Daphnia pulex: one gene and its partner. The protein of the gene in region 2 purifies or fractionates together with the protein of the main gene of each other region. This does not show direct contact. Links are inferred from orthologs where the notes say so. Each region holds a gene or a part of one and is shown on either strand. Other genes may lie near its edges.

Region 1 (5,138 bases), on a different chromosome or scaffold from region 2:
CTCTTTCCATCAGATGAAAATGAAATAAAAAATAAATAAATAAAGCTCCGGCTGCTGGTCTGGTCCAACGAACCGGGCTCCCACGTACACGCACTAGACGCTCAAAGTAGGAGTTGCCCGAAGAAGAATATTAGAACTTTTCACTTCAGAAAAAGATTTTTTCTTTTTTTCTTTCCCAAAGAGGAAACCAAAATAAAACAACAACAACAACAACTGGCGCGTCCCGGGCATTGAAAGAATGATGGCACTTCTATAAATAGAAATGAACGTGAAACCACCACCTTCCTCTCTATCGTAGCCTCCCTCTTTCACGACCCTCCCGATTTTTACAAAATCAAACGTAGGTAGTAGTAAGTCGGTTGGTCGTCTAGCGCGTATTATAGAGTTTCCCTTCTTCTCTCCGAGAAGAAGAATCAATAACGAAATAGAAAACTGGAAGAAGAAGAAGAAGAAGAAGAGGAGATGCGGCCTCGACTTTGTGATTCCAGCCGAGTATTTATAACGAATCAACAAAAACCTCCAAGGAGAAGAAGAAGAGAGCCAGGGTCGACGAGCGACTATGTCAGAGAAGAGAGAAGAAGAAGAAGAAGAAGGAAAGACAATAGCACAAGCCCTATCCATCAAGACGGATCCGGTTCGTTCTATTCGAGCTTTTTTGGTTGAATTGTTTCTCTCTTTCGGTCGTTCGTTTTCGGGAGCCTCGAATCTTTTTTTTTTGTTTTTTTGTTTTTGTTTTTCTTTTTGATTTATTCCGGGGTGATGATTTGATTTTGGTCTTACCTGATTTGACTGAAGCGTGAATGTGAGCCCGCGACTCGTAGTAGACCCAGTCGAATCCGGCCTCGACGGCCAGACGGGCCAGCATGCCGTACTTGGAGCGGTCGCGATCCGACGTCGTGATGTCCACGCCTCGTCCCTCGTAGTGCAAAGAGTTGGCCGCGTGCAGGCCTTCCTCGTCCCAGCCTTCCGTCACGCGCAGTTTCACGCCCGGCCACTGGTTCATCACCGAAATGGCCAACGTGTTAAGCTTCTCTTTGCATCTCTGGAAAATTGGGGAAAACAAAAACAAAAAACAAAAATCTGATTATAACAAATTTGGCGCTTTCAATTTGAAAAAAAATATTTTTTAAAAAATAAAAGAAACACAAAGTGAACGTTTCGTCCCGTAGGTCATGAACGACCTCGTCTCTTTTTTTTTCTTTCTCTCTTTCTGGACGGCCGGCCGGCCCTCGAGACAAGAGATTTGTGTAAAGTGTGATGCAGGTGTTCAAATGAAAAGAAGAGGTAGAGAGCCACCTGCGGACTCGGCGCCCGTGTGCTCTCGCTTCAACGGTTCACGTTTTGGAATCAATTAAGAGCGGCGCGGGCACCGCACACACAGAGCCCAACAGAAAAGAAACGATTTCCAAACCGGACAGCAGCCCCCCGCATCATTTCGATCAACAAGAAGAAGAAAATGTTAAGAAAAAAAAGAAACACAAATTAAAAAAACAAAAAGTGTTATTTCTTCTTCTTCTTGTGTATAAATCTCATCATCTCATTTGTTTTGTTTAAAAAAGAAAGAAAAAACAAAATTCTCCGCCGTTTTTGGTGGTCGGATTTTATTTTAAAAATAAACTATCCGACGTCATCTCATTATGTTTTAATTAATAACAAACCGGCGAGCTCCTTTGAATTCCCCCCTAGCTATATAAATGTAAATCAAATATTACACAAGCCGTATCCGTATATATATAAGCCTATTACTGCCTACTTTCTCTCTCTCTCTCATATTTATTAATGATGCGACAGTCCGTCCACATACACACATTGATGTTTCCAGAGATTTTGTTTGATCTTTGTCTTTCTCTCTCTCTCTCTATACTCTCACGATGCTATTAGTACGGTAAAGAAGAACCGGCATACCGGCCCAGGAGAAGAAAAAAAGATATAGCTAGATATATACACACTCGGCTGCTATTTGCCGCCCTTCTTCGACTATGCGCCTTCAACTTCTTCTTTTTTCTCTCGGTACACACAGAGAGAGAGAGACACGACCTCCCACCTTCGCATGTTTTGATTTCCCACGGTGTTCTTTAAGTGTTTTCTTTCTTCGACTCTCTCTCTCTCTTTTAAAAGCGGGAAGGTAGGAGGAGTCACTGGGTGAAGAAGAGCCGCGCGCGTGATTTGTCATCCCTTTTTTCCTCTCTCCTCTTCTTCTTCTTCTTCCTTTAGATTTTTATTTGTCTTCTTTTTCTTTTTTTTCCCTTCACTTCTTTTTTGAAGAGCTGTTAAACGAGTTTGACTCTCTGGCCGTCCATTTACTGAACACACACCGATGGATATGAGGGACGGGGGAACTTTTTTTTTTATTTTTTCCGACCAGCAGTTTCCGTTTGGTATTTTACTTTTGTCTAAACAACACGGAGATGAAAGAATAGAAAATCTATAAGAGATAACACACATTTACCGCCGCCCCCCATAACCGAGAAATGGTTTCGAGTGGGGCGATGACAAGTGGCCAGTGTACGAAATTCAAACAGCGCGCGGCTCTTGAAAACAATTTGGGTAAAAAAATACCAAAAAGTCGACCGCGCACAAACACGGGCCGATAAGGCGACGACGCCGACGACGACACAATTTTCTTGTTTTTCCCTTTTGGCCAACGGTGTTTGCATAGTTGGAAGAAACCCGATAGGTTATTTGTGTTGCATCTCTTTCTGTACGGATACGAGTTGTGACTCTGTGAATGTTTGTTGTAAAATAAGAAAAAAGAAAAAAAAAACCTTTGGGCTGGTCAACTGAGGCCCCAGCTGTCAGAGGACTTTGGGGGCTAATTGCTCTTTTGTACAAGCCGAGGCAGCACGTACACAAGAGAGAGAGAGAGGGACGTTAGAATTTCAAACTAATATAGGGTGGAAAAAGAAAAAAAGCCTATTCAATTTCTATGTAGACGATTCCACAAACAGCGAGAGCTGGAATCTTTTTTTCTTTTCTATTGTTGAACTGTGCGCGCATCTTCCGATTGGTGTTCGCCCTTTTGGCTGGCCCGTCTAAGCGCGCGAGCTCGTTATTAGCCGGACGCCAGGTGTTTGAGTGCTGCTGCCACAGCAGTGCCTTATTGTATTATATTTTCAGGATCCCAAAAGGGACGGAAGGAATTTTTTGTCGAAACGAGAAAAAAAATTCAAGAAAAAGAATAAAAATTTGTTTTAGTTTGGGGAATTTACTTCAGACGGACAAATCGATGGGAAAAGACGACGGACGATGTGATGTCAAAAGATTCATCGACCTCAATCTCGCAGACTAGAAAGAGAAGAGAGAGAGAGAGATGGATTGCGACATCGTCGCGGGGTTATTGTCCCGAAGTTGCGCGCGCGGGTGTTCCCATTACAAACGGCGTTGACTTTTCGTTTGCCTTTCTCCGGGCGGCAGAGACGCGCCGCTCTTCTTTTCTCTCTCCTGGGGGACACAACACAACTGGGCGAATTCCAGGAATGTCCCCATGCCCGTAAAAAGGCTACTACTATACGGTACAACTCTCGGATTGATTTAATAACAACAACAACAACACCGGCCATAGAAAGGGTGAAGAAATAACAAATGAAAAGCGACCGAAATCCAGACAGACACACAACTCCTCTCACAAAAAGGCGTGTGTGTGTGTGTGGGTTCCAGTAAAAACGGAACCCCCTGGCGTGTGTAGACCAGAAAACAAAATTTGTTTTTCCAGGAGAGATGGAGGGACCATATAAGAAGCCGCTTGCTGGACCCGACCCTTTTGTTGAGCTGGAAATTTGGGGGGGTTCCGGATCCCTTCCGCCGCCGTACATAAATGTATATAATTCCGCCCACACAATTCGTTCTGATTTTATTCTTGCTTTCATTTCACCCCCCTCTCTCTCTCTTCAAAGAGAACTGTAGTACACTGTACGTGTAGGCCAGCCACTAAAAAATGTGTCTACAAAGTTTTTCTTCCAGCACACGGGGGAGAGATGGAAAAGAAAAAGGTGGTGGTAATATAATGAATGATCGGGCCATGACTTGACTATTAAACATTTTCTTGTCTCTCTGGCGCGCAGCAAAGGGGCTAAACTCTTACAGTATACATGTTGTCGGTCCTTTTTTTCTTTCTTTTTGAAGGAAAAATGCTCTGTACAAATGTACAGAGAGACATGGGGGATAGGGAGATAAGAGCGGGCGGCTGGACAAACTGCGCCGGGGCAAATGGGAGGGAGGCGCGGCTGGACTCCAAATGACAAGGTAGACCAACACACTGCCGCTAGAAGAAAAGCCATTTTCCCACTTTTTCGAATGTTTGAACGGCCGATGTTTTGACACAAAATGAAAAGTCGATGGCAGTTTCCCTTATTCAATAAAAAATTCAACTGATTTTTTTTATTTCTTTTAAAAATAAGGAATAGCTCATTATTATTATATGGTAGTATATGGAAGGGGGGGGGTTCCAGATTTTTTTTTCTTTTAGGGTCGGTCGGAAGGAATTCGAAGAAAAATATGTCTGGTTGTCTCTACTCAAAACGTATCATTAGCGGCGGTCCGGCTTTCAAACAAAACAAAAAAAGGAATAGTCTCCCATGTGGCATTGACAAGGTGGGAGGGACTATAGACTGGAATAATCATTAACCCTTCAGAAAAAAGTTTGCAAACTTTCCATCCATCTTGTAAAAAAATCTATTCTCACTTTGCTTTCGTTTTTAATGGAGGAGGCCCCAATATGAATTTTTTTTTTCAAATTTCCCGCTTTTCGTGTTGCGGTACATATACTGTACGTATCCAACTCACGCGTTTGAATTTGTCTTTTAACCGCCGAGGGGATGACCTCCGTTCACCCACAACAACCCAAGAATCAAAGTAGTAGTCGTAGTATAGTAGTAGTCGTTTGTTGTTTTCGGGTGCTGGGCTGGAATTTCAAATATGCGCGCGCCCAGGGACCACAAGTCGCACACACACAAGGGCGCCGGTCGTCGTCGCCCTGCCGGCGTCATCATCATCCGCGCGTTTTTGATGGCCTTTAATGTGCCCCGCAGGTCGGCAGATGATGGGGGGTTTCATTTGCAACCGAAAAAAAGAAAAAGAAAAATTCGAGTCGAGTGCCACCAACCACCCAACCACTTTTGTGCGTTTGTGGTGGCCTCTAT
Region 2 (5,138 bases):
TGCCTCAATCATGGAAAAGAAAGAAATAAAAATCAAATAAAAATCGAATGGGGGAGACATTTGCCGCGGGTTAGGTAACCGTCCGGGCTGCAAAGTCACTAAAACAAACAATAGAAGAAGAAACGTGGAATGTTAAAAAATCAAAAGGAAGAAGAATCTTCTTCTTCTTCTTCTTCGTACAACTTTTTCAACGAGTTTCTTGATCTCCCACATAGGAAAAAAAAAAAGAGAAAAAGAGAGAGAGAGAGAGCTGCTGGATGAATGGCCCGGCTAAAACTTCACTGGCCCGCCCGCGCTCTTTTGCCGTCATTCCAAGGCCCCCGTTGGCATACTCTTTTCCATATATAGTGGTGAGCACATGAGGCGAGTAAAGCCGAGAACTGCTGGCCCGGCTATATAGCCCCCTTATATATACATGTACACACATATCAGCTGGACGAGATCTTTCGACAACAAAAGAGAGCGGGGGCATGGAATGGACGGACCACCATCAGACAACTTGCCCAGGCAAAAACTGGGCAACTGGGAATTTTTTTGTTTTTAAAGAAGCAAAAAAAGAAGGAAGATGCTTGTCTTGTCTCGGGTGTTTATTCATTCGTTTCATGCTTATTATGCTTGTCCGTTTCGTTCGCCGTCCAGCCCGCCCGACCAGCGTCTGCCGGAAGGCAAACAACAACTCAAAAATAATAAAAGAAAACCAAACAAAACTTTTTCTTTCTTTCTTTTTTGAGAGAATGTCCGATATCGCATATCACCCCAACAGATAGGTGAACTTTGTTAACCGGACCGCCTTCTCCTCCCATTTCTTTGAACAGATTTGAAAAAAAAACACGTGAAATTCAAACAGAGCGACTAATATCTCAAACTTTGTGTGTCTTTTCTGTGTTATAATAATCTCAAATCGGACTCCTGATTGTGTCGCTTCGTGAGTGCTGCCCGTGTGGGGGTGGAACTGCTGGACCGGTTTTCTCGCATTTCTTTCGGAGCGGCTGTTTTTGGTGTAGATTTTGCTGGTGAAAGCGTCCGGGAGGAACAAAAGGAACAAGAAAAAAGCCGTGAGCGAGATCTCTTTATTAAAAGGAGAGTCGCCAGTTTGAAACTAAACAAGAGAGAGAACTCGAGAGAGAGAGAGAGAATAAAAACATCTCCATCCAGTCAAGTCGGACAGATCCAGCTGTTTTGGTATTCAGCAAACACGAGAGCCCATTGCTTTTTGCTTATAGCTCTCTCGGTTGTTGCTGCTGCTGCTGCGGCGGCAGCGACTGGCTGGGTCATTAGGCGCCGGCCCTAAAAAGGGTTCTCTCTCTCTTTTCTCAGTCATTCTGTGTGTGTGGCTGGACTCTTTTTTCAACTCGTGTAGTAGATATATATATATATATATACAGCTGCGCCCTTCTTTCTTTTTTTCTTCTTTCCATCTTTTCCCCTTTCTCTCCCGTTTTCAACGTTTTCACATTAGTCTCTCAAGCTCCTTGGAACACCTGCATCGGGCCGCTCTCTTTTGAAAGGAAGAAAAACAAAAACAAGCCGACTTCTTCTTCTTCTCCCCTCTATCATCTGATCCAAGACTACTTCTTCTTATATAGAGAAGCCTGGAAAAAAGAAAGAAAGAAAGAAAGAAAAGAAGTCCGCCGTGGAATTCCACGGGCGACATTCTCTCAGCTGCTCGAGAGGGGGTCCTTCCGCGTCCGTCGTCCGTTTTTCTTTTATTATTTGTCCAACTTGTTATTATTATTATTACTATTTGCCTCTTGTGCCTGTTCACCGATACTGTTCGAGCTCGTTGATTTCATTCTCACGGCCTTATTCTTCTTCTTTTTGGCTTGGAATTATTTCTTAACAAAAATTTTTGTCTTCCTGGACTTGTCCACACACAAACGGCGTGCGAGTCCCAGTGCCAATATTGAATAACCAGAAGCTTCTTCACATTCCAACTTCTTTTTTTTTTTTTTTTTTTCTTGAGTGAATGAACTTTTTTTTTCTTTGGTGACGACAAACTTTACTGGAGTAACCGTCCAACAACAAAAAACTGGGCGAGAAGGAGAGAAACAAAAAAGAACCGAGCTGTGTGCGTGTCGTCATGTGGAGGGTCTCGACGTCGACCACCCAAACGGTTTTTTCTCTTTTTGACTCTCGACCAAAGAAACAACAACAAAAAAGAAGAAGAGATCCAGACTTGAACGCGGAACCCGCCGGTGTCTTTAAGTTTTTCTTTTTTTTTTCTTTTTTAAAAGAGAATTTTTCTTTTTTTTTCAACTTCTTCATTTTCTTTTTGTGCTCATTTTCATCATCTATTCCCCCAACCCTCCATCTCTGTTTCAGTGTCTTTTTTCTTTTTTGAAAAAGTCGGGGCCCGACTTTATTACAGCGCGGCGGGCCGTCTTCATCGTTTTGGAGGGCAGCCAGATATCTTCATCTTCGTCGGGTTAAATCGATGATGGGGCTCAAATATTCACAAGTCTACACATAGAAATTTTTTCCTTTTTTTCTTTTTCTTCAATAGAAAAAGAAGACGATGGATGGATGGAAGGAAAAAAAGAAAGAAACAACAACAACAAAATACTTCAAAAAGAACCGGTTATTGTGTTTTGTTTGCGAGCCAAAAGTAGACTGGAAACTCATTCAGTCGGCGCCGGAGAGAGGCCACCCAGGCGACGGCCGATGGGGCCCCCAGATTAGAAAAATCAAACAAAAATGAAAAAAAAAAAAAGAAAAAGAGAGAAACTCTCTCTCTTCCAAATTCTTCCACCAAGTGTTGTGTGTGTGTGTGTGTGTATGTACATAAATATATACACACACACACACAGGCGCATTTATGTCTATACACAAAATTAACAACAAAAAAAGGAAGATGGCGGCGCTGGCCAGAAAAAGAAGAAAGAAAGAAACACTTACGTATCGAACATTTCGACGGTGACTTTGGTGGCGGCTTGGACGGCCCGCAGGTGGGCCAGCAGCGCGTCGCGGCTGAGTAAGGAGCCGCCTTGGCCGTTACTCGGCGTCTGGATGAGGATCTGATGGGTCGAGCCGGCTCCTTCGCCCAGCGTCCGTCTCATGTAGGCCAACTCCTTCTCCAAACGGCCACCCTCTGTGCAGGATCAACACATTTTTCAGAGAAAAAGAATAAAATAAAATAACTCCATTAGTTCAAGGGCACACACAAAACCCTCCTCTTTCTTCTTCATCTTCTCCCGACCGACCGACCGACCAACCGACCGATAGAGCCATCAACTCGGCCGCCATTAAGCCCTCGACTCTCTTAACGATATACCTCCACTCTTGAAAAGCCCCTCGAGATAATCACAGGTTAAGAGAGAGACTCGCAGGCATTTCTCCAGCGTATAGACAACAACAACAACATCTCACAATGTTTCAGGAGAAACGCCGACCGAATACGCAATTGCCCACCTCAAAGTTTGTCTTCTTCTTTTTCCCTTGGCTCGGAGTTTTTTTTTTTTCATCGGAATCACGCGGGATTTTCTCTCGCGTCCCACCCAGAATGTTTTCTTTCAGTCCAAAAAGAAGAAGAAGAAAAAATAAAGAAGAATTCAGAGTGTTCAAGTGGTCAAGTTGAACAACCTCTTTTCCCGAACGGCTCTGCGGCGCCGTTTTTAATGAGCTTCCTGTAAATAATGTTTTTTTTTTTTTCTTTTTCTTTTTTTCAAAAAGAGAGGTTGCTCATATTTTAAACACCCGAGTTTGTCTAGCCAATCTAACGTTTACGCTTTTACCGATTGCCAGGCGAAAAGAAAGAAGAAAAAGACGGGGCTGTATTTTCTTTTTTGGCCGAAATCGTATGGGCCATAGCTCTAGGACCGGTTTTTGAATAAATACATAGACATTCTCTCCTTCTATTGCTTCTCTTTGACTCGTCGAGTGAAGACATCACGGCCAACAAGTCAATTAAAACGATACGCTTATAAAACAGCAGCCTTCAGAGTTGGGACTCTCTCTCTCTCGCTATGGGTGGCCGATTGCTGGACCCTTAGGGACCTTTAAGGCTTCTCCAATGCAAATTCCATTCTCGGCTGTCTTGGCTATCCAAAACAACCGACCGACCGAAAATGACCGAAACACCAAAACGGAACGCTCGAGAGACAAAAAGAAGTTTTGTTTCTTTTGGGGAGAAAATCAGATCCAACTGATTTTCCAGAGTGACGTGATGGATTCACAATCCACCAGCCAACACGTACACACACACATATATATCTATCTCTCTTTACTCTATTCCATTTCGATTCTCTCTGCCATCAATGGCCAACCCGACCAAAATAACAAAAAAAAAAAAAAACTTCTTTTTTCTCTTCCCGTTGTGTGTGTGTGTAGAGGGGGCGACGTGCAGTGCATGTGTTGCGTGTCTCACTGGGTGGCCGAACGCGCTCAACCGGCCCCGAAGAGAAAAGGAAAAAAGAATGAAGAAGAATAAAAAAGGAATAGAGAGAGAGTATATAGCATCCGCATGAGTCTTCCCCGCGAGCAAAGTAAACGCAAAGAAGAAAACTCGGATGAAAGCAGAAGAGAGAGAGAGAGAGACTAAGAAACGAACTGAAAAAAAAAACTGTATTTTTCTTACCAGCCAAAGAAGAAGGAAAGAAAAAACGACCGAAAGAGGGTTCTATGTGTGTGTGTGTGTGAGGGAAACTACTACCAGCCGGTCTCTCTTGTCTTGTCGAAGAACCCAGAAGCAGGGCTGACCTTGATGTTTTGGGTAGGAAGAAGAACAAGAAGACGGCATTCCTTTTTAAAAAAACTGATCTAAACGTATTGTGTGTCGACGATATCTCTACTCTCTCTACTGTACTGGGCACTATAAAGTGCCTATTATGCGCACCACCCCCTGATCGCTGGATTTCCAAAATTCAAATGGGGAGACGCAATCGTCGGAAGTGATGGAATAATAGAGAGAAAAAAAGAAGATGGAGGTCAGAAAAGAATAAGGAAAAGAATAGGAGAGAGAGAAAAAATCTTTTCCTATTGTAACGAGTTTGACGGGTCAATTGAGAAAAGGGACGACCGATAGCCTCTCTTCTCGCTCTACAAGAGTAACACACACGCACAAATGAAAAGAAGAAGAAAAGTTTTCAGGTACGCTGGCTGGATACAATGGACCAAAGAAGAAAGGGGGGAAGGAAAAGAAA

Evidence for each region. Proteins that work in one complex are often made in the same cells at the same time.
Region 1: the proteins of protein patched-like (region 2) and sonic hedgehog protein A-like purify together in Drosophila melanogaster (affinity purification with western blotting; 3 studies listed by BioGRID). This does not show direct contact. The link is inferred for Daphnia pulex from reciprocal best matches to the Drosophila melanogaster genes ptc and hh.

What each region holds. Positions count from the first base shown.
Region 1 is NC_060017.1:3,411,568-3,416,705, forward strand, and holds part of sonic hedgehog protein A-like, read right to left. Parts: intron 1,043-5,138; coding exon 781-1,042; intron 1-780.
Region 2 is NC_060018.1:5,085,023-5,090,160, reverse strand, and holds part of protein patched-like, read right to left. Parts: intron 3,089-5,138; coding exon 2,896-3,088; intron 1-2,895. UniProt on the Drosophila melanogaster protein: Segmentation polarity protein. Acts as a receptor for the hedgehog protein (hh). Associates with the smoothened protein (SMO) to transduce the hedgehog signal leading to the activation of wingless, decapentaplegic and patched itself.